Rhinolophus ferrumequinum: one gene and its partner. The protein of the gene in region 1 purifies or fractionates together with the protein of each later gene. This does not show direct contact. Links are inferred from orthologs where the notes say so. Each region holds a gene or a part of one and is shown on either strand. Other genes may lie near its edges.

Evidence for each region.
Region 2: the proteins of SEH1L (region 1) and NUP160 fractionate together in Homo sapiens (co-fractionation; 3 studies listed by BioGRID and IntAct, with this or other methods). This does not show direct contact. The link is inferred for Rhinolophus ferrumequinum from reciprocal best matches to the Homo sapiens genes SEH1L and NUP160.

Annotation. Positions count from the first base shown.
Region 1 is NC_046302.1:5,254,382-5,265,157, reverse strand, and holds the start of SEH1L (nucleoporin SEH1), read left to right. Parts: upstream 1-6,807; 5' UTR 6,808-6,937; coding exon 6,938-7,048; intron 7,049-10,776. UniProt on the Homo sapiens protein: Component of the Nup107-160 subcomplex of the nuclear pore complex (NPC). The Nup107-160 subcomplex is required for the assembly of a functional NPC.
Region 2 is NC_046294.1:13,504,324-13,514,325, forward strand, and holds the start of NUP160 (nuclear pore complex protein Nup160), read left to right. Parts: upstream 1-5,379; 5' UTR 5,380-5,613; coding exon 5,614-5,713; intron 5,714-5,983; coding exon 5,984-6,095; intron 6,096-10,002. UniProt on the Homo sapiens protein: Functions as a component of the nuclear pore complex (NPC). Involved in poly(A)+ RNA transport.

The DNA of each region.
Region 1 (10,776 bases):
CCAATGGCATTTTTAAAGAAATAGAACAAAAAATCATCAGATTTGTATGGAACCACAAAAGACCCCGAATAGCCAAAGCAATCCTAAGAAAACAAGAACAATGCCGGAGGTATCATACTCCCTGACTTTAGCTTTTACTACAGGGAAACAATAATCAAAACAGCATGGTATTGGCAGAAAAACAGACACATAAACGAATGGAATAGAACTGAGAACCCAGAAATAAAACCACATAAATATGGACAGATAATCTTTGACAAATAAGCAAAAAACATACACTGGTGAAAAGACAGCCTCTTCAATAAATGGTGCTAGGAGAATTGGAAAGCCACGTGCAAAAGAATGAAACTGGATGCTATCTGTCACCATGTACCAAAATTAATTCAAAATGGATCAAAGACTTAAGCATAAGACCTGAAACAATAAACTACATAGAAGAAAACATGGTACTAAACTTATGGACCTTGGGTTCAAAGAGCATGTCATGAATTTGACTCCAAAGGCAAGGGAAGTAAAAGCTGAAATAAGTGAACGGGACTACATTAAACTTAAAAGCTTCTGCACAGCAAAAGAAAGTATCGAGAAAATAAAGAGGCAACCAACTGAATGGGAGAAGATTTTTGGAAGCAGTGCCTCCGATAAGGGGCTAATATCCTTAATATATAAGGAACTCATACAACTCATTAACAGAAAAACAAACAACCCAATTGAAAAATGGGCAGGGGACCTGGAGAGACATTTCTCCAAAGAGGACATACAAATGGCAAATAGACATATGAAAAAATGTTCAAAATCACTAATCATCAGAGAAATGCAAATAAAAACCACAATGATATATCACCTCACCCCAGTCAGAATGGCTATCATCAACAAGACAAATAGTAACAAGTGTTGGAGAGGCTGTGGAGAAAAAGGAACCCTCATACACTGTTGGTGGGAATGCAGACTGGTGCAGCCCTTATGGAAGGCAGTGTGGAGGTTCCTCAACAAAATTAAGAATAGAATTACCATATGACCCACCAATCTCTCTCCTGGGTATCTACCCAAAAAATCCAAAAACATTTATCCATAAAGACACGTGTGCTCCAATGTTCATTGCAGCTTTGTTTTCGGTGGCCAAGACATGGAAATAACCAAAATGTCCTTCGATAGACGAATGGATAAAGAAGTTGCAGTATACATACACAATGGAATACTATTCGGCGATAAGAAAAGATGAAATAGGAGCATTTGTGACAACATGGATTAATGAGATTATAATGCTAAGCAAAATAAGTCAGACAAAGTAGAGAACCATATGATTTCACTGCAATGTGGTATATGAACCAAAACCAACAAAGAACAAGACAAAGAAACAAAAACTCATAGACACGGACAATAGTTTAGTGGTTACCAGAGGTTAAGGGGGGCTGGGGGTGGTAGATGAGGGTAAAGGGGATCAAATACATGGTGATGGAAGGAGAACTGACTCTGGGTGGTGAATACACAATGGGATTTATAGATGATGTAATACAGAATTGTATACCTGAAATCTATGTAACTTTACTAACAAGTGTCACCCCAATAAAGTTTGATTTTCTTAAAAAAGAAAGATAAACAAATGGGACTACATCAAATTAAAAAGATTTTCACTGCAAAGGAAACCATCAGAAAACAAAGAGACATCCTACTTAATGGAAGAAGATATTTGCCAATGATACATCTGATAAGCGTTTAGTACCCCAAATTTATAAAAACTCATACAATTCAACATAGAAAAATATCAAACAATCCAAATGAAAAATGGGCAGAGTACCAGAATAGGTATTTCTCCACAAGGGACATACAGATGGCCATTAGACACATGGAAAAATGCTCAATGTCACTAATCATCAGATAAAATATGCAAATAAAAACCACAAGGAGATACCATCTCACTCCTGTCAGAATGGCTATCGTCAATAAATCAACAAAACTACAAGTGTTGGAGAGGATGTGGAGAAAAGGGAAGCCTCGTGCATTGTTGGTGGGATTGCAGATTGGTGCAGCCACTATGGAAAATGTTATAGAGGTTCCTCAAAAAATTAAACATAGAACTACCTTATGACCCAGAAATTCCACTCCTGGGTATTTATCCAAAGAAATTCGAAATACAAATTTGAAAAAATATATGCACCCCTATGTTTATTGCAGAGCTATTCACAATAGCCAAGATATGGAAACAACTGAAATGCCCATCAATAGATAGTTGGATAATGAAATTGTGGTACATTTTCACAATGGAGTATTACTCTGCTCTAAAAATACATGAAATCTTACCATTTGCAACAACATGGATAGACCTAGAGGATATTATGCTAAGTGAAATAAGTCAGACTGAGAAAGACAAATACCATATGATCTCACTTAAATGTGGAATCTACACTTGATCTTAGCCAAAAGGCCAAGAAGCAATTATATATGTGGAATCTAAAGAACAGAATAAAAGAACAAACAAAACAGAAATGAACTCATAGCTACAAAGAACAAACTGATGGTTGGTAGATGGGAGGGGGGTTGGGGGTTGGGTGAAGGAGTTAGGAAGTACAAATTGGTAGTCCCAAAATAGTCACAGGTATGTGAAATGTAGTATGGGGAATATAGTCAATAATGTTGTGAAAATGATGCCTGGTGTCACATGGGTACTAGACTTATCAGGGGAGATCACTTCTTAAAGTATATAAATGCCTAACGACTGTGCTGTATACCTGAAACTAATATAAAATAATATTGAATGTCAATTATAATTTAAAAATATATATATATATATATGGTCACTGGGTGTAAAGTACAGCACAGGGAATATAGTCAATGGTATTGTAATAGCTACGTACAGTGTCAGATGGGTAAGTAGACTTGATGGGGTGTGTAAATGTCTAATCAGTATATTGTTCTGTACACTTGAAACTAATAAAAACATAAATAAAATTTTAAAAATATGTTCAAGAAAATGAGGAGACATCCCAGAGAAGAAAAGCTAAACAGTGTTACAAGAAATGTTACAGGGACTTCTTTAAGTAGAAGAAGGGGGAAAAAGATAAATAATATGAATAATAAAATGTCAATAACTACATATCTATCAACAATTACTTTACATGTAAATGGATTAAATGCTCCAATCAAAAGATATAGTATGGCTGAATGGATAAGAAAATAAGACCCTTACATATGTACTCTACAAGAGACTCACTTCAGATTGAAAGACAAACATAGACTGAAAGTAAAGAATGGAAAAAGATGTTTCATGAAAGCAGAAATGAAAAACAAAAAACAAAAAAAGCTGGGGTAACAATACTTATACCAGACAAAATACACTTTAAAATAAAGGCTATAACAAGATACAAAGAAAGACCCAGTAATTTCACTTCTGGATACTTATCTAAAAAAACTCAGAACAGTAATTTGAAAAGACATATGCATATGCATCCATATGTTCATCGCAGCATTATTTACAATAGCCAAGATATGGAAGCAAAGTGTCCATCAATAGATGAATGGATAAAGAAGTGGTACATATATATATAATGGAATATTACTCAGCCATAAAAAGAATGAAATCTTGCTATCTGCAACAACATAGATGGACCTAGAGGGTATTATGCGAAGTGAAATAAGTCAGGCAGAGAAAGACAAATGCAATATGATTTCTCTTATACGTGGAATCTAAAGAAGAAAAGAAATGAACAAAGAAATCAGAAACAAACTCACAGATACAGAGAACATTTTGAGGGTTGCCAGATGGGAGGGAGGTTGGGGGGATGGGTGAAAAAGGGGAAGGTATTAAGAAGTACAAATTGGTAGTTACAAAATAGGCATGGGGATGTAAAGTATAGCATAGGGAATATAGTCAATAATATTGTAATAAGTATAGTATCAGATGGGTACCAGATTTACTGGGGTGATCACTTCGTTAAGTTATATAAATGTCTAATCACTATGTTGTACACCTGAAACTAATATATTGTATGTCAACTGTAATTGAAAAATAAAAAAATTATTTTAAAAAAAGAGAATGAGGACACAGGTCATAAACTTGGAGAAAATATTTCCAAAAGACAAATATGATAAAGGACTATTATCCAAAATATACAAAGAATTCTTAACATTCAACAACAAGAAAACAACCTAATTAAAAAATGGGCAAAAGACCTGAACAGACACCTCACCAAAGAAGACATACAGATGGCAATAAACGTATGAAAAGGTGCCCCACATCATGTCATCAAGGGAATGCAGATTAACATAATAACGAGATACCACTACACACCTATTAGAATGGCTAAAATCCAGAACACTGACAACCATCACCAAGTGATGGTGAAAATGTGGAGCAATAGGATGCATCAGCAATTCACTGATGGCAGGACTGCAAAATGGTACGGCTACTTCAGGAGACAGTTTGGTGGTTTCTCACAAAACTAAACCTATTCTTACCAGATGATGCAGCAATCCCAAAGGAACTGAAAATTTATGTCCACACGAAGACCTGCACACAGATGCTTATAGTAGTTTTATTTAGAATTGCCAAAAGTTGGAAGCAACTAAGATGTCCTTCAATAGGTGAATGAATAAATAAACTGTGATCCATCCAGATAATGAAATGTCTTTTAGTGCTAAAGAGAAATGAGCTATCAAGCCATGGAAAGACATGGAGGAAACTTAAATAAATATTAGTAAGTGAAAAAAGCTGATCTGAAAAGGCTGCATACTGTATGATTCCAACTATATGACATTCTGGAAAAGGCAAAGCTATGGCGACAGTGGAAAAATCAGTGGTTTTCAGGGGTTGGGTGAAGGGTGGGATGAATAGGTGGAACCCAGAGGATTTTTAAAGCAGTGAAAGTATTTTGTATGATACTACAATGGTGGATACACATCACTACACATTTGTCCAAACCCATAGAATGTCCACCACCAAGGTAAACTATGGACTTTGGGTGATTATGTGTCAACGTAGGTTCATCATTTGTAAGAAACATAACAGTGCGTTTTTAGGTATTGCTAGTAGTAGAGGCCAGTTGGTAGGAATTTTGTAGGAATTGAGGAGGAAGAAACTTTCCTCTGCTCTCACAGTTCTTTCGGTTCGTCTAATAAATAGACATGAGACCTATAACAAGAGAAAATAACCAAAGTTAATTACTTACATACTATATATGGGAACCCCTCATACAGGAGAGTCAGAAACGCCCTACATACATGAGAGGTTGAAAAACAGCAGAAAAAATAAGCTGTATATGACATTCTGGGCTAAGGATGAGGTAAGGCACCTTGGGACTTTAGAAGGTAATTGCAGGGAGAGCACATGTTCAGTAATCAGTAGTTTGCCCTGCCATATAGGTTTTCTTTGATCTCTTATTATGACCAAGACCCCTAATTCAAATTCCTCTAAATAAAGGGGAGGGGCAGAAGTGTCCCTTGAGCCCCTTATGTCTCTTTTGCCTTTAGCTCAAAATAATCTGCATATCGTGGAAGCACATCTTCGTGGAAGCATACCTACAGAGGGTAGGTACGTATATGTGAACACATGTATTTTCTGCTCAATTTTGCTGTGAATCTAAAACTATTATAAAACATAAAGTCTATTTTTAAAAATTCCCTTTGCTTCATCTATTTAATCCCCCACCCAGATATCTCTGGTAACCTTTGATTCGTTTACTGTCTCTAAATTTAACTTTAAAAAATATTTAAATTAAAAAATTTTAAAAAGTTTTGGAGCTTTTATAAATTGATTGGACTTTTATAGACAGTGAGTACTTTCTTTAGAAATTAGTCTTTGATCTTACAGCAATTACAATGATTAGTTATCATACCTGCAACTCACAGATTTGAGGTCTGTCTTTTAAAGTACCAATAAAATCTTATCATTCATATTCAGTGGAAAAAAGGCAAGTAAAGAAAATTCCAGAAAGGCGAGGTCATTTCGCCACCTCCCTTTGCTGGTTTCTATGTAATCCATCAGGGGACAGCTGGGACTGTTTTGAAAACTTTCTAGTTTGCTAATCTCACCATGCCCCCACTTTCTTGTCATTCTTGGTTAAAATTAAAATACTACGAACCTCCTTTGGCAGGCTCATTTTCAATTATTATTTTTTCTTTACTTGCATTCCCTCACCCAATCTTCCACTGTTTCCTATTCTAAGTGACTCTACCACTAAGCCTTCTGGAATGTCTGATAAACAAAATCCTCTAAATTGTTAACCTCTCTGCAGAATATTCCTCCACTTACTGGGTTTGGCAGAATCCTTGATTTGCGGACTTCTTCACTGGTCTCCTTCACAGTGTTCTCCCCCCCCCCCCCCCCTCCCCGTCTCGCCGCCCGTTTGACTTATTCCTTCATTGAGAACTCTGGCTCAACATTCTTCCAGTTCATTTCGGATCCTGTCCTTCTCCTAGGTGATTTAAGTTGCTACTTGGAGAACTTTGTAATTCCTAGTATCTCATTGCATTCATTCATCCTGGTTCCTGTCTGTTCTACCTCCAAGCCTTTTCTACATGTGAAACCTTTAAACATTTTGACTCACTCTGAGCACTCTGCCCGTATAGCAGGGGAAACTAATCGAAACGTTGACCAAAATTGACTCAAGATTGAGGACTGTGGATAGCATTTTAACTTTTTCATTTTTCTTAATTTTTATACTTTAACAATGAGTTCTTTTTACTTTCATTAAAGCACCGCAAAGCTCATCTGCTTGAATTTGGCGGCTGTCCACTGAAGGTTTCCTTTAGGAGGATCAGGCGTAGCCCTTGCGGCCTCGCGGGGCATGACGGGACGAGGGGCGGGCCGGGGGGCGCGCAGGCCGTACGAGACGTGCACGTCCCGGCGTCGGGGTCTGGGGGGACTGCGATTCATGCTCTGCCGCGGCCGCCCTCTTCAGACGCCGGAGGGGCAGACGGAAGAGGTGCGTGCCCGGCGGAAGCCATGTTTGTGGCACGCAGCATCGCAGCGGACCATAAGGATCTCATCCATGATGTCTCCTTCGATTTCCATGGGCGGCGGATGGCGACCTGCTCCAGCGACCAGAGCGTCAAGGTGCGCGCGGAACCTTGGGGCGAGGCTGAGCCGGGAAAGAGGGGATTGGGAGCGTGAGCGAAGGGACCCGCGCGTGGAAAGGGGACTTTCCCGATATTGATGCGCGCTGCCGGGCACAAGACCTGGAGCCCCAGGGAGGCGGCAAACCTCGGCCAAGTGGCCTGCTTCGCCATCCTCGTCCCCTCACTGTGGGGTCTCAGCCGCCTCGGGGCCGTGCTGCCCTGCGCGTGCGTAGAACGGGCGGGTTGGGCGGGCCTGTTGGTCACGTGCGCGCTCCCGCCGCCGGGGGACGCTGGGAGCCCTCCGAGTTCCTGCGTACGCCGTATCGGGTCCTTTTCGGCGGGAGTCCGCGAGCTACCTCAGCCTAGTCCCCAGTAGGGGTTGCTTTGTCCGCGGAGTTCTGGCAATATCTGTAATGAGTTAACCACTCTTGTTCAGTGAGAAGGACTGTGCCTTGGGTCTTGTAGGACAGTCAGTTCGTAGTGTTAAGCTCTGTGTGCCTCGTCCTTCACCTGGAGAGGTTATTTATTCTCTGTCTTCCGATAGGAGGTTTACGTTGTTTCGCGATGAAAGAAAATTACAGATTCATTTACACCCAATGAAGTTCCTCACTCGAGGAATTGGAGGGTGTGTTTCTTAGTTTATTTACACGTCTGTATACTGCTCTGAAAATAACAATTTCTATTATACTAAGAAGATACTATTTGGGATTTAGGAATTTAAGAGATAAAGGGTAAACGATAATAGACTTGAAGATGAAAGCTGGAGTGTGGAGTATTTGAATTTTCAACAACTCCAAAATAACTGAAAAGTTGAAAGACTATATTTACTTCTCGTTTTTAACCATCAAGTTTGATACCATTGATTCCTCAAAGATAGTTATAACTAATTTTCCTCTCTAAAAAAGAGTAGTGCCTCAAATCCATCGAATAATGCAGTGTTTTTAACCTGTAAAAGGTTTGGAATCACTACTTTTTAAAGTTTTTTTTTTTTATTGTGGTAAACTAACAATTTGAAAGTGTACATTACAGTTCAGTTCTGTTAAGCACAACATTCACATTGTTGTGCCACCATAACCACTGTACATCTCAGGAACTTTTTCTTCATCTAAACAGAAACTCTGTACCTAGTAACTCCCTCTTCCCTTGTACCCCAAACCCCTGGTTACCTCCAACTCTCTTTATAAATTTGACTATTCAGGGTACCTCATAAATGGAATCATACAGTATTTGTCCTTTTGTGTCTTGTTTATTTCACTTACTGTGATATTTTCAGTGCTCATTTATGTTTGTACAGTGTATCAGAATTTCATTTTTAGGGTTGAATAATTTTGTTGCACCACATTTTGTTTATCCTTCTACCTTTTGACTGTTGTGGATATTGTATTGTCTGTTAACTGAATAGTCCATACTTTTTTTGTTGTCCACTTACTACTGAATTTTTTAGATGATCTTTCAGTTTGTACGTTTTGTCTGTTAGAGTACTGTTGCAATGAAGATCTTCATTAATTTAGCTTTTTATATATTTTGGATGATTTTCTTAGGCTCATTCCAGTAGAGAAATTAGTGAATATTTTAAAAGCTTTTGAGAATAATTGATAAATTGCCTTTTTGAAGGTTGTTCTATACACTGCCAGTGTGAGTATTGATTTGATAACATCATTTTCCATGTTGGGCATTATTACAATTTTTCTTTAAAAATTTTTTATGTGGCAAAATACATGTAACAAAATTTACCATCTTTACCATTTTTAAGTCTACAGTTAAGTGGTATTAGGTACATTCTGCAACCATCACCACCATCTACAAAACTTTTTCATTTTGCGAAATGAAACTGTATCCATTCAACAATAACTCCCCATTCCCCCTACCCTCCATTCTGCTTTCTATTTCTATGAATTTGACTATTCTAGATACCTCATGTAAGTGGAATCATACATTTGTCTTTTTTTTAAACTGGTTTATTTAACTTAGCATGTCTTTGAAGTTTGTACATGTAGCATATGTCAGAATTTCCTTTTTAAGCTAAATAGTTCCTTACATGTATTGTATATACCACTTTTTACTCATCATCTTTCCGTGGACTTGGGTTGCTTCTACGTTTTAGCTATTGTGAACAATGCTGTTATGAATGTGGATGTACAAATAACTCTTTGAGACCTTTTGTTTTTTTAAAATTTATTGGGGTAGCAGTTAATAACATATGTTTCGGGTGTACAATTCTATAATACATGATCTGTATATTGCATTGTTGTGCTCACCACCCAAAGTCTAGTTTCCTTCGGTTACCATGTAATTGGCCCTCTTTATCCTCCCCACCATCTCCTTCCCGCTGGTAATCACTGTACTGTTGTTTGTGTCTATGAGTTTCTTTGTTGCTTTCTGTTTTATATCCCACATATGAGTGAAATCCTATGGTTCTTGTCTTTTTCTGACTTAATTCACTTAGCATGATACTGAAGATCCATCCATGTTAGCAGAAATGGTAGTATTTTATTTTTTATGGCTGAGTAGTATTCCATCGTATATGTGTACCACATCATCTTTATCCAGTCATTGATCGAAGAACACTTAGATTGTTTCCATGTCTTGGTTGTTGTGAATAATGCTGCAGTGAACGTAGGGCTACATATATCTTTACAGATATGTACATCTTTACAAATACATGTTTTCAAATTTTTCGGGTGGATGCCCAGAAGAGGTATTGCTGGGTCATGTAAGGTAGTTCTATTCTTAATTTTTTACTGTTTTCTATCGAGGTTGCAGCAATTTACATTCCTGCCAGCTGTGTGCTAGGGTTATCTTTTCTCCACGTCCTCTCCAATACTTATTTCTTGTTTTATTGATAGTAGCCATTCTAACAGATGTGAGGTGGTATCTCATTGTGGTTTTGATTTGCATTTCCCTTTTAGCTAATGAATTTGAGCATCTTTTCATATGTCTGCTGGCCGTTTGTATGTCTTTTTGGCAAAAGTGTCCGTTCAGGTCCTCTGCCCATTTTTTTATTGTAGTATTTGTTCTTTTTTGTTTTTGAGTTGTATGAGTTATTTATATATTTTGGATATTAGCTCCTTATCAGAGGTATCGTTTGCAAATATCTTCACCCCTTCAGTTGGTTGTCTTTTTGTTTTATTGATGGTTTCTTTTCCTGTGCAGAAACTTTTTAGTTTGATGTAGTCCCATTGATTTATTTTTTGTTTTTACTTCCCTTGCCTTTGGGTCAAGTTCACAAAAAACCCTCTGAGACCAAGGTCCATAAGTTTAGTATCTATGTTTTCTTCTATGCATTTTATTTCAGTTCTTATATTCAAGTCTTTTACTTCATTTTGAGTTAATTTTTATGTATAGTGTCAACTCTCTAGTTACATCCTTGTGCATGTGGCTTTCCAATTTTCCCGACGTTCATTGAAGACATTTTCCTTTTCCCATTGTATAGTTTGGATCCCTTGTTGAAAATTAATTGCCAGTATGTGTGCAGGTTTATTTCTGGGCTCATTTTTGTTCTGTTGATCTGTGTGTTTATTTTTCTGCCAACACCATACTGTTTTGATTATTGTAGCATTGTAGTATAATTTGAAGTCAGGCAGTGTGATACTGCTGGCTTTGTTCTTTTTTCTCAGGATTGCTTTGGCTATTCAGGATCTTTCATGAAAGACCTGTTTGTGTGTTGAGCAGCGGATCCTTCGTTTAACTATATTTGTCTGACTTACAATTTTAAGGTGAGATACC
Region 2 (10,002 bases), on another chromosome or scaffold:
GTCCCATCAATTTTACACGTTTTTAAAAATAAAAGCAAAGAGGGGCGACCGGATGGCTCAGTTGGTTAGAGCGCGAGCTCTCAACAACAAGGTTGCCGGTTCAATTCCCGCATGGGATGGTGGGCTGCGCCCCCTGCAACTAAAGATTGAAAATGGCGACTGGACTTGGAGCTGAGCTGCACCTCCACAACTAGATTGAAGGGCAACGACTAGGAGCTGATGGGCCCTGGAGGAACACACTGTTCCCCAAAAAAATTTGTAAAAATTAATTTAAAAAATTTTTTAAATTAAAGAAAAAGAAGTATGACTAAATATTCACATTGATTGCATCACTCAGGGAAGACATGCCTGTCCTTGTCCTGGGGAGCGTCTGGAGTAGGCTCAGATCAGAGCCTGGAAATGAGGGAGAGGTGAAGGCGAAGATCCAGACTGTCTCTGGGTTTTAGGCCACAGACCAGCCTAGAGCTTTAGTGCCAGAAGAGAGCTTGAAGATTGGTATGTACAGCACCCTCTTCTGAGAAACTGAGGCACAGAGATGTTGGGTGGCTTGCCAAGTGACAAGAGATTAGTTGAGACAGGGCTAGAACTGGAATCCAAGTCTTCCAATGCACTGCTGATGTTCTTCCCAATATTTTATTATCACTTTGGGAATTTAGAATAGATCCTACTCTAAACTCCTTTCCTTTCCAAATTCTTTATCCCTGTTGGTTCCCATCCTTAGACAAGATGTCGTGTGTGTCTATGTGGGGTACGTGTGTGTGTATGTGTGTGTGTGTTGTTGGATTCCACGGGAAACAGACTCTGAGGCATAGATTTGCACAGGAGGCTTACAGGAGGTGTATTGGAGACTGCGCTCAGGAACAGCACCTCAAAGGAACTAAGGGAAGCAGGACTGGGCAGAAAGAGACGTTGAGGCATCAGCCGATCCTACATAGCACTCTGGAGCAGAGATGGTCCTTCAGAGTTCTCCTAGATCAAGGCTAGGTGGCAGGCCCTTTGGACTTTCCACACTGAAACCTCACTGGATGCAGGGGCTATAACCATAGGCAAGGTAGCTCTCTTCAGTTAAGAGCAAAAATCAGGGTCCCTCCCACTCCTTTCTGGAGACTCCAGGGGAGAATCGTTCCTGTGCATTTTCCAGCTTCTAGAGGCTGACCATGTTCCTTGCTTATAGCCTCCTTCTTCATCTTAAATGCCAGCAATGTCACATATCTTTGACCTTTCTTCTGTCCTCACATCTTTCTGACCTCAGCAGGGAAAGGTCTCTCCTTTGAGGGACTATGAGTAGTTAGGGCCCACCTGCGTGATCCAGGCTTCTTTCTCCATCTCTACATCCTTAACCTTACATGTACAAAGTCCCTTTTACCATGGAAGTAACATTCACAGGTTCCAGGGATCAGGAGGTAGACATCTTTGTGGGGCCATTATTCTGCCTACCATAATCTGAATTAAATATTTTTGGCAAGAATACTTCATATGTTCTTAGCAGCATTTTCACAGTAGCCAGAAAGAGGAAACAACCCAAATGTCTGGCAACTGATGAATGGATACAGTGTTGTATATCCATACAATAGACTATTGTTCAGCCATAAAATGGAATGAAGTACTGATTCATGCTACACCATAGATGAACCTTGAAAACATTACGCTAAGTGAAAGAAGCTGGACACAAATGGACACATATGTATGATTCCATTTATATGAAATGTCCAGAATAGGCAAACATAAAGTAGATTAATGGTTTCCAGGGGCTGAGGAGGGGGAAATGAGCAGTGGCCACTAATGGGTATGGGATTTCTTTTTGAACTGATAAAAATGTCCCAAAATTAATTGCGGTGATGTTACACAACTATGTGAATAAGCAAAACTCATTAAATTGTACACTTTAAAGAGGCAAATTTTATGGCATGTGAATAATATCTTAACAACGTTGTTTAAAAATGCCTTACAGATGATGCTGTATTCTTCACTTTGTATCACACCAGGAGGCATTTATATCTGGTTGTCCTTAGTAATGAGAAATGCTAAGGTTGAACTCTGGGTTAAGGTGGTGGCAACTGATGGAAACTGTATTTTTAACAAGTGCTTCAGAAAAGTTATCTACCTTACAAGAATACTACTACCTTGTAAGGATGTTATGAGGATGAAATTAAAATGTGACATACTTAGTAAATTTTAAATATGGTAGGTAGAAAAAGTCCCCACCCCAAGGAAGATGTTCACATCCTGATCCCTGGAATCTATAAATGTGTCACCTTACATAGTAAAAGGAACTTTGCAGATGTGATTAAATTTAAGGGTGTAAAGATGGGGAAATTACTTTGTATTATCTGGGTGGAATCTCAGAAGCTTGAAATTCTGACTCAGGAAAAGTTTTAAATGGTAGTTTTGTTAAACAATGAAGTATTTTCATTCAGCAACATTAGAACATTTACCAATATTGATTGTTCCTACAAGGAAATACAACTCAGCTTTCTCCCATTCCGCAGACCTACTCCTCTTCTACCATTCCCACCGAGTTAATGGCACCCAGTTGTCAAGGCAAACAGGAGTCAGCCTGGATGACTAGACCTTCTCTTATTTTCATTCTTCACCAGATCCAACTGATTTTATCTCCTAAATATTCCTTCAAATTTACTCTCATCTTCTCCATGCCACTCAGGACTTCATCAACTTTTGCCTGGACCATTCATTTCTCAAATATTTACTGAATATTTGCCTCTTATGGGCCAGGCATGATTCTTGGAGTGTGGAGTCTAGTAGAGGGGTGGGGGATAAGGATTCAGAAAGCAAGGAGGCAATTTAGGAGGCTATTACAATAATCCAGGTGAGCTGTTGGCAGTTTAGACACAGGGTGATGGATGGCACAGAGAAGGTGAGATGGCACTGATCTAAGGTAAAAGAGAAAGAGGACTCAATGATGACTCCAAGGATTTTGGCTTGAGGCACTGGAAGGATGCCAGTAGGTGAGATGTGGAAATAGTGTTAGGGGAAGAGATCAGGACTGCAGTTTTGGACATATGTGACTTTAATTTTAGACATATTAATGTAGGCAATTGGATATATATATATATATATATATATATCCAAAAAATGTATACACATTTTAAGAAAGGAAAACTGTATTATAATTGTAATACTCAACATGTACCCATAACAAAAGATGAATACAAGTCACGTCTGACTTCTGCAATTACAAGAGGTGCTCAAAGTGGTTACCATCAGCTTAATTTTTATAGTTTTTTTCCTTTCTTAAAAGGAAAAGGTACCCTCTGTATATATGCAGTTGGATATATAAGCTTGGAGTTCAGGCGAAAGATTTGGACTGGAGATATACATTTGGGAACTACATATCCAGCATTTAAAACCAGAAGACTGGGTAAGATCCTCAAGGGAATGTGTATAGACAGGACCAAAAAATGGGCTCTGGGGCACTCCCAACATTAAGAGGTAAGGGAAAAGAGATACAACTAGCAAAGGAGTCTGAAGAAGAGTCAGTAAAATAGGAGGAAATTAAGGGAGTGTGGTGCCCTGGAAGCCATGTGAAGAAAGTGTTTCCAGGAGGAAGGAGCAATCAATTGATCAAATGTTAAAGGTGGTCAATTAAGTTTACAGTATTAGATACAGTAACAAGGATGTCATTGCTGACCTTGACAAAGGCCTAGAGAAGGAAGGTTTAAGAGAGAATAAGAGAAAATTAAATAGAATGACCTTGAATTTTGCAGTCAAGGTGGGGAGGGGCTCCAACCTTGTAGGTAGTAACTTGAGAGCTCAAATGAAGGCTTTTTGTGATGGGAGGAGAAATAACAGAATGTGTGATTGGAGGAACAACGCAATGAAAAGGGGGGAAACTGAAGATGTAGGAGAGACAATTGCTGGAATGATGTCCTCGGGCAAGTGGTCTAAGGAAAAAGTAGAAAGATTGTTCTTCCATAAACTCAGGGACACTTCTATTTATAGTAACAGGAAGGGAAGGCAGAATATGTGGATACAGCGGGCTGGTAGGTAGGGAGAGGTGGTAGTGGGGGAAAACTCTTGATTGCATCATTTTTCTAAGTGCAGAAGCAAGCTGAGAGTGAGGATGGGAGAGGAGGTGTTGCAGGTTAGAGGAGCTGTGAAATATTCATCGAGGACAGTAAGTGGACAAGGGATATACAGTGTTTGTGGGGCAGCAGTATGGGCCCACTCAACATTCTGAGTCATGATGGAGGCAGAGGGAGGTATGTCAGTATGACTGTATTTTCCTGCAGGCCTGTTCAGCTGCAGATTTGGATTTGATCACAGTTGTAGATTTTATCAGAGTATGATGAATTCCCTTGCCCAGAGCTGGGCAAGGGAGTAGTCGTACCTCAGTTTCGAATGTCTCCATTGACAAACATTTCGGTTTACGACCGCTGTAATTTTTTTGATCTATGGTATCATTAGACAGTAAAATTCATGCTGAATTTGCAGTTTTAGGGATTGATTTTAAAGGTCTGGAAAGGATTAATCCATTTTGCATTACTCTCTATGGGGAAACTACACCTCAGTTTTCAAACGTTTCAGAACTTGAAAGGTCCTCCGGAATGGATTACGTTCAAAAACCGAGGTACCACTAATTTAAATAGAATTTAAGCAGAGCAAGAAGGAAACATCAAATGAGTAACAGTGAAATGATGATTGTAGGTGGAATGGAGGGATTGCATTGCTAGAGTTGGTGTTCTAGGAGAGAAGAGAGTGGGCAGAATAGGATGAATGAAACAGAGGACAGATAAGGTTTGCGGTCACTGGTAACACCAAAAAAATAACAGAAGTGCTTAACAAACCGTTAACTATCAAGACAGTAACTTTGCCCCCGCAAAATTAGCATTTTCCTCAATATTGAGCATCTACTTTGCCCTAGATAGGGGTAAAACCACAGTAACCTCCACACATCCAGATCACGGGTGCGAAGAAAAGCAAATTCGTGTATGCCAAGAAATCAGCATTTAGGTAATCTCAGCAGGTTGCAGCATCAATATTTAATTGAACCCATTATGTTTCATCCTACAAAAATACAGGAATACAGTCTCTTGAAAAAATTCCAACGCAAAGCAAAAGGCCCCTCTGCCCTACACTCCCCCTCACCCGATCCCACGTGTCACAGAAGGGTGAAAAAACCGAGACCCGACGGAGATTCACAGACGGACACTCAGATTCACCGAAAGGGGATCGCAAAGTCGGAATCCGGCAGAGGGCGCCATGGCCTCCCGGACATCGTCCTCGGAGGAGGTTCATCCTGCCGCCCGCGCCGTGGTTTTTAAAATGGAACCCAGCCCCGCCCCCCGCCCTGGGGCCGCCGGGAAAAGGGCTCCGCCCCACCCCCACGACCGGAGGCGTCCAGGCCGGCCAAGCGAAGGTTCCCGCAGAGGGAGTCGGCTCCCTCTGCCCCTTTCTCTTCTGTTTTTCTCCCTGCCAACCCTTCTTCTCCAGCCACTCGGAGGAGCCCCGGAAGACACAGTTGAAGCTGCCATTCTTCTCCCCGGCAATCTCCGAGTGTCCTCGCCTCCGCCTGCCCCGCCCCCGGAAGTGACGGCAACCACTCGGTTGTGCTGGTGTCCCGTCGGGCCTCGCGGCGGCGGCGGCGGCGGGAAGATGGCGGCGGCGGGATCCCTGGAACGGAGCTTTATAGAGCTCAGCGGTCCGGAGCGCGAAAGGCCGAGGCGCTTTCGGGAATTTACAGTTTGTGGCGTTGGTACGGAAGCAGCCAAAGAGGGCGCGATCCGATCCTTCCTCTCAGGCTCCTCCCATGAGTCCCTAAATCTCTGATCCCCAGTTTATCCTTTTAAGTCCACATGCCTATAGCCCCGAGATCTGAGCTTCCTTAGTGTCCCATTTCCTCTTTCTCTTCTTCCCCTTCTCTTCGTATGGATTATCAGTCTGTCATCCTCTGCTTTCTCGGCGCCCTCAGTTCCTGTCATCCTCAGAGAACCACGTGTGCAGGCTGACCCCTCTCCTTTTGCAGGGACTTCAAATGCCTTGACCGGAACCGTCAAATACAGTGAGAGCGCTGGAGGCTTCTACTATGTGGAAAGTGGCAAGTTGTTCTCTGTCACCAGAAACAGGTTCATTCACTGGTAAGTGCTGTGTTCGCCAAACCCCGCTGGAAAGTCGAGTTGGTGTCTGAATGTTCGTGGCTGTTTATAAAGGCTGTCCCGCTGTTCTCCGAAGCAGTAATTGACAGGAAGAGAAAGACTGTCTTCTAATTGTATCTGAATCAGGAGATTAAGGAGACCAGAGTTCTAAGAGAGGTTCCCTCCCAGGGCAGCACTAAAAGCAGAGGAAATGTAGCTTAGGGGATAGAGGCCCAAAGATCAGTTTTAAACATCAGTCCATTGTGTTTTTATAGTGTTTCCCCGAAAATAAGACCAGGTCTTAAATTAAGTTTTGCTCCAGAAGACGCATTAGGGCTTATGTTCAGAGGATGTCCTCCTGAAAAATCATGCTAGAGCTTATTGTCCCGTTAGGTCTTATTTTCGGGAAAATACAGTAGTGCTTTACAACTTCATTCTGCAAACGTGTGAGCTTTTACACATCAGGCACTGTGCTAGGTATGCTAGGGATTAAGTGATGAACAAAAACCACCACCATTTTCATCATGCAAGATGTTGTAGCAGTGTTAGCTGTGGACTCACCTTTCGTTGGGCTGTTTAAAGAAGGGAAAAGACATTAATGACACAACATAAGTATAACAATACAAATGTTTCATACCTGCTTCAGAAGAATAGTGTAGAGGCTATGAGAGGCTAAGGGCGGACCACATTTTATTGGTGGAGCTGAGAAGGCCTTTAAGGAGGTCATATTTAACCTGAGATCTGAATGGTTAGCCAGGCAGGGGATTGAGGAAGAGAGCAGTTCGGCAAGTGGGATCAAAATGTGCCAAGTCCATGAGGTGGAAAGAACTTGGCAGGTTTGAGGATCTGACCGAAGGTCTGTGACTTAAGTGCAATGGGCGAAACAAAATAATGTGAGAGATGCTGAGATGGGGAGGGAGGCAGAACTCATTATGAAGGACCCTGAGGTCCTTTTTAAGGATTTTGGATTTTATCCTAAGTACGTTGAACAATTATTGAAGGGTTTTTAATGGTTACTAACATGATCAGAATTGTATTTTTTTAAAAATTGGCTACTTTGTGGAAAGTGGATTTGGGTTAAATATATGTAATACAAAAGAACAATTTGCCTTTATGATGGCCCAAGTAAGAGATACTGGTTGTGAGAATGGCTAGGAAAAGAGAAATGGATGGATTCCACATACATTGAGAAGGTAGATTCACTAGGACTCTGTGATAGATTGAATATGGAGTGGGAGGTGATAAGGGAAAAGGAGGGAGCAAGGATAACTCTTTGGTTTCTAGTGTGACTAACCAGATGTATAGGGCAGAGGGGTGGCCATTTACTGAGATATAGAAGATGGGTTTTGAGAGATTTGAATAATTCTTTTAGACGTACTAAATGTGAAGTATTTGCAGCAGCCCTTTGGCAATATTAAATAAGTGCTGAAATTTAAAGGTCTGCGGCACAGAAGAAAGACCTATGTTAAAGATACACATCTCATTTCCTTCAGAAAGATGTTTGAGTTCTTAATATGTTACAGTCAATGTTTAGAGACTGGGGATGTGGCAGGGAACAAAGCAGACAAAGTCCCTGCTTTCGTGGAGGGAAACAGGCCCTAAACAGTAATAAGGAAAACAAGTAAATGCAGCTTATCAGGTGACGAGTGGAACAGAGACTAGGGAAGCAAGATAAGAGGGAAGGGGAATGCCTGTGGAAGTTAATATTTACATCGGGTAGTCAGGCAAGACCCAGTGATAATGGTGACATTGGAGCAGAGGAGTAAGGATGTTTGAGTGATGAGAATTTCAGGTAGACCCTTCTAAGGAAAAAAAGTGCAAAGAACCCTAAGACAGGAGCTTGTGTGTTGTGTTCAAAGAATGACAAGGGTACACGAGTCTGTAGACGAGTGAACAAAGGGTAGAATAATAAGAAAGGTAGCCAAGGACCAGGTCAGGGCTTTGTCGGTTATTTTAAGGCCGTGACTTTTACTCTTAGTGAGATGGAAAGAAGCCATTTGAGAGTTTTAAGTGAAGGAATGGCATAATCTAAGTTGTGTTTTTAAAGGATTGCTGTGGCTATGGGTTGAGAACAGAGTGTAGTGAGAAAAGGGTGGGAGTAGGGAGACCATTTAAGAAGTTGGTGCCACAATTCAGACGAGATGATGATGGCTTAGACCAGGGTGGCATTGGTAGAAGCAGTGAGAAATGTTCTGGTTGTGGACATGTTTTGAAGGTGGATTTGTTAGAATTTACCATTGGATCAAATATGGGGTATACAGAAAAAGAAGAGTCATGGGCGATCTCCAGATTTCTCTATTGAGAAGTTATAGAGATGCCATTACTGAACTGGAAAAGACTGTGTGTGAAGTAGGTATTTTTGTTTCTGTTTTTCAGGTTTGTTGGGTCCAAGAATTCTATTCTGGACAGGTTTTGATCGAGATCCCTGTTAGATAGCCAAGTGGAAGTGTTGAGGCAGAGGTCAGGAGTTCAGTGGAGACATTGGGCTGAAGATACAGATTTGGGAATTGTTGGCATTGGGTGGCATATAAAGCTGTTATGCTGAATGAAGTCATGTAGAGAATGAGTATAAATCAGGGTTTGGAGGGATTGCACTTGGAGGCAGATAAGTCTTGGTTGTGGGGGCTTCCTGTACGTTGTAATGTGTTGAGCGGCATCCCTGGCGTCTACCCCCTACGTCCCAATAGTGCACACACATGCACGTGTACGCGCACACAGTCGGTTGTGACAAGCAAAAGTCCAGATATTGCTATATGTACTCGGGGAGTGGGGCAGAATGGCCCCCAGTTGAGAACCTGTGTTGATGAGGGAAGAGGCCTGAGCACTGAACCCTGGGGAACTCCAATGTTTAGGCAGAAGAGGAACCAGTAAAGGAGACCGAGAAGAAGTAGCTAGTAAGGTAAGTGTTGAACAAAAAGAGAGTGGTGTCCCAGAAGCTAAGGGAGACATTTCAGGGAGAAGGAGGCTGAAAAACTGCTGAATGCCACGTACAAGCCAGAGAAATGAAAATTGATCTTGCACCGTGGAGATCACTGGTGACCTTGTCAGCAACTGCTCCAGTAGTGGTGCAAAAGCCCAAGGGGAGTGGGTTTGTGCGTGGAGGGGGGATTGTGAGTGTAGAACAACTCTCTCAAGGAGCATTGCTATAAGGCAAACAGCGAAATGGTAGCAGGCAGGCAATGGAGGGTATAGGGGAAATACAGTATGTTTATATGCTGTCAAGGGGAACCAATAGAGGAGAGGAATTGAAGAAACTGAGAAAGTGAGGCATTAGAAAACACATGGATATTGAAATCATTCACAATTATGGCAGGAGATGTGAGAGTGAGCCAGGAGCTAAAATCTTTAAGAAATGAGAGAGATCTGGAGATAACTGCAATGAAGAGGGTGGCAGGTGGTATCTGATTGCATGACCTTCAGAGCTGAGTGGTTTGAGCCAGGAGGGTAGAACAATGGCCTAGAAAGGCAGTGGGAAGCAAGCAGGCTGTCTGTGCCCTACCCTGAGGCCCCAGTACAAGGGGCATGGTAAGATAGCTTCCACCGTTAGAGAGGGGTCTGAGGGATAATGTTCTCTGGGAAGAACTAGAACCCAACTTTAACCATAAGGCAGAAGGTGAAGTGATTGTTCAGAGATGATGATGGTGAAGGTCCAGAAAATTGTGCTGATGATGCCACACCATTAGTTAGTTACCAGAAGCAAAGTAGCACTAGAGAATCATCAGAACTCCAGTGGTGCTCCAGTGTTTTGCGAGTAGATAAGATATGCTTTGGGAGAATGTGTACAGTGAGCAGAGAAGATGACCCAGGATTGAGGTTTGAGAACTAGCTATAGGGGTCAAGTCAAGGAGAAGAAGAGGGAATGCCCAGAGATATGGGTGTAAAACCAGGAGAGGGTCGTATGGAAGTCAAG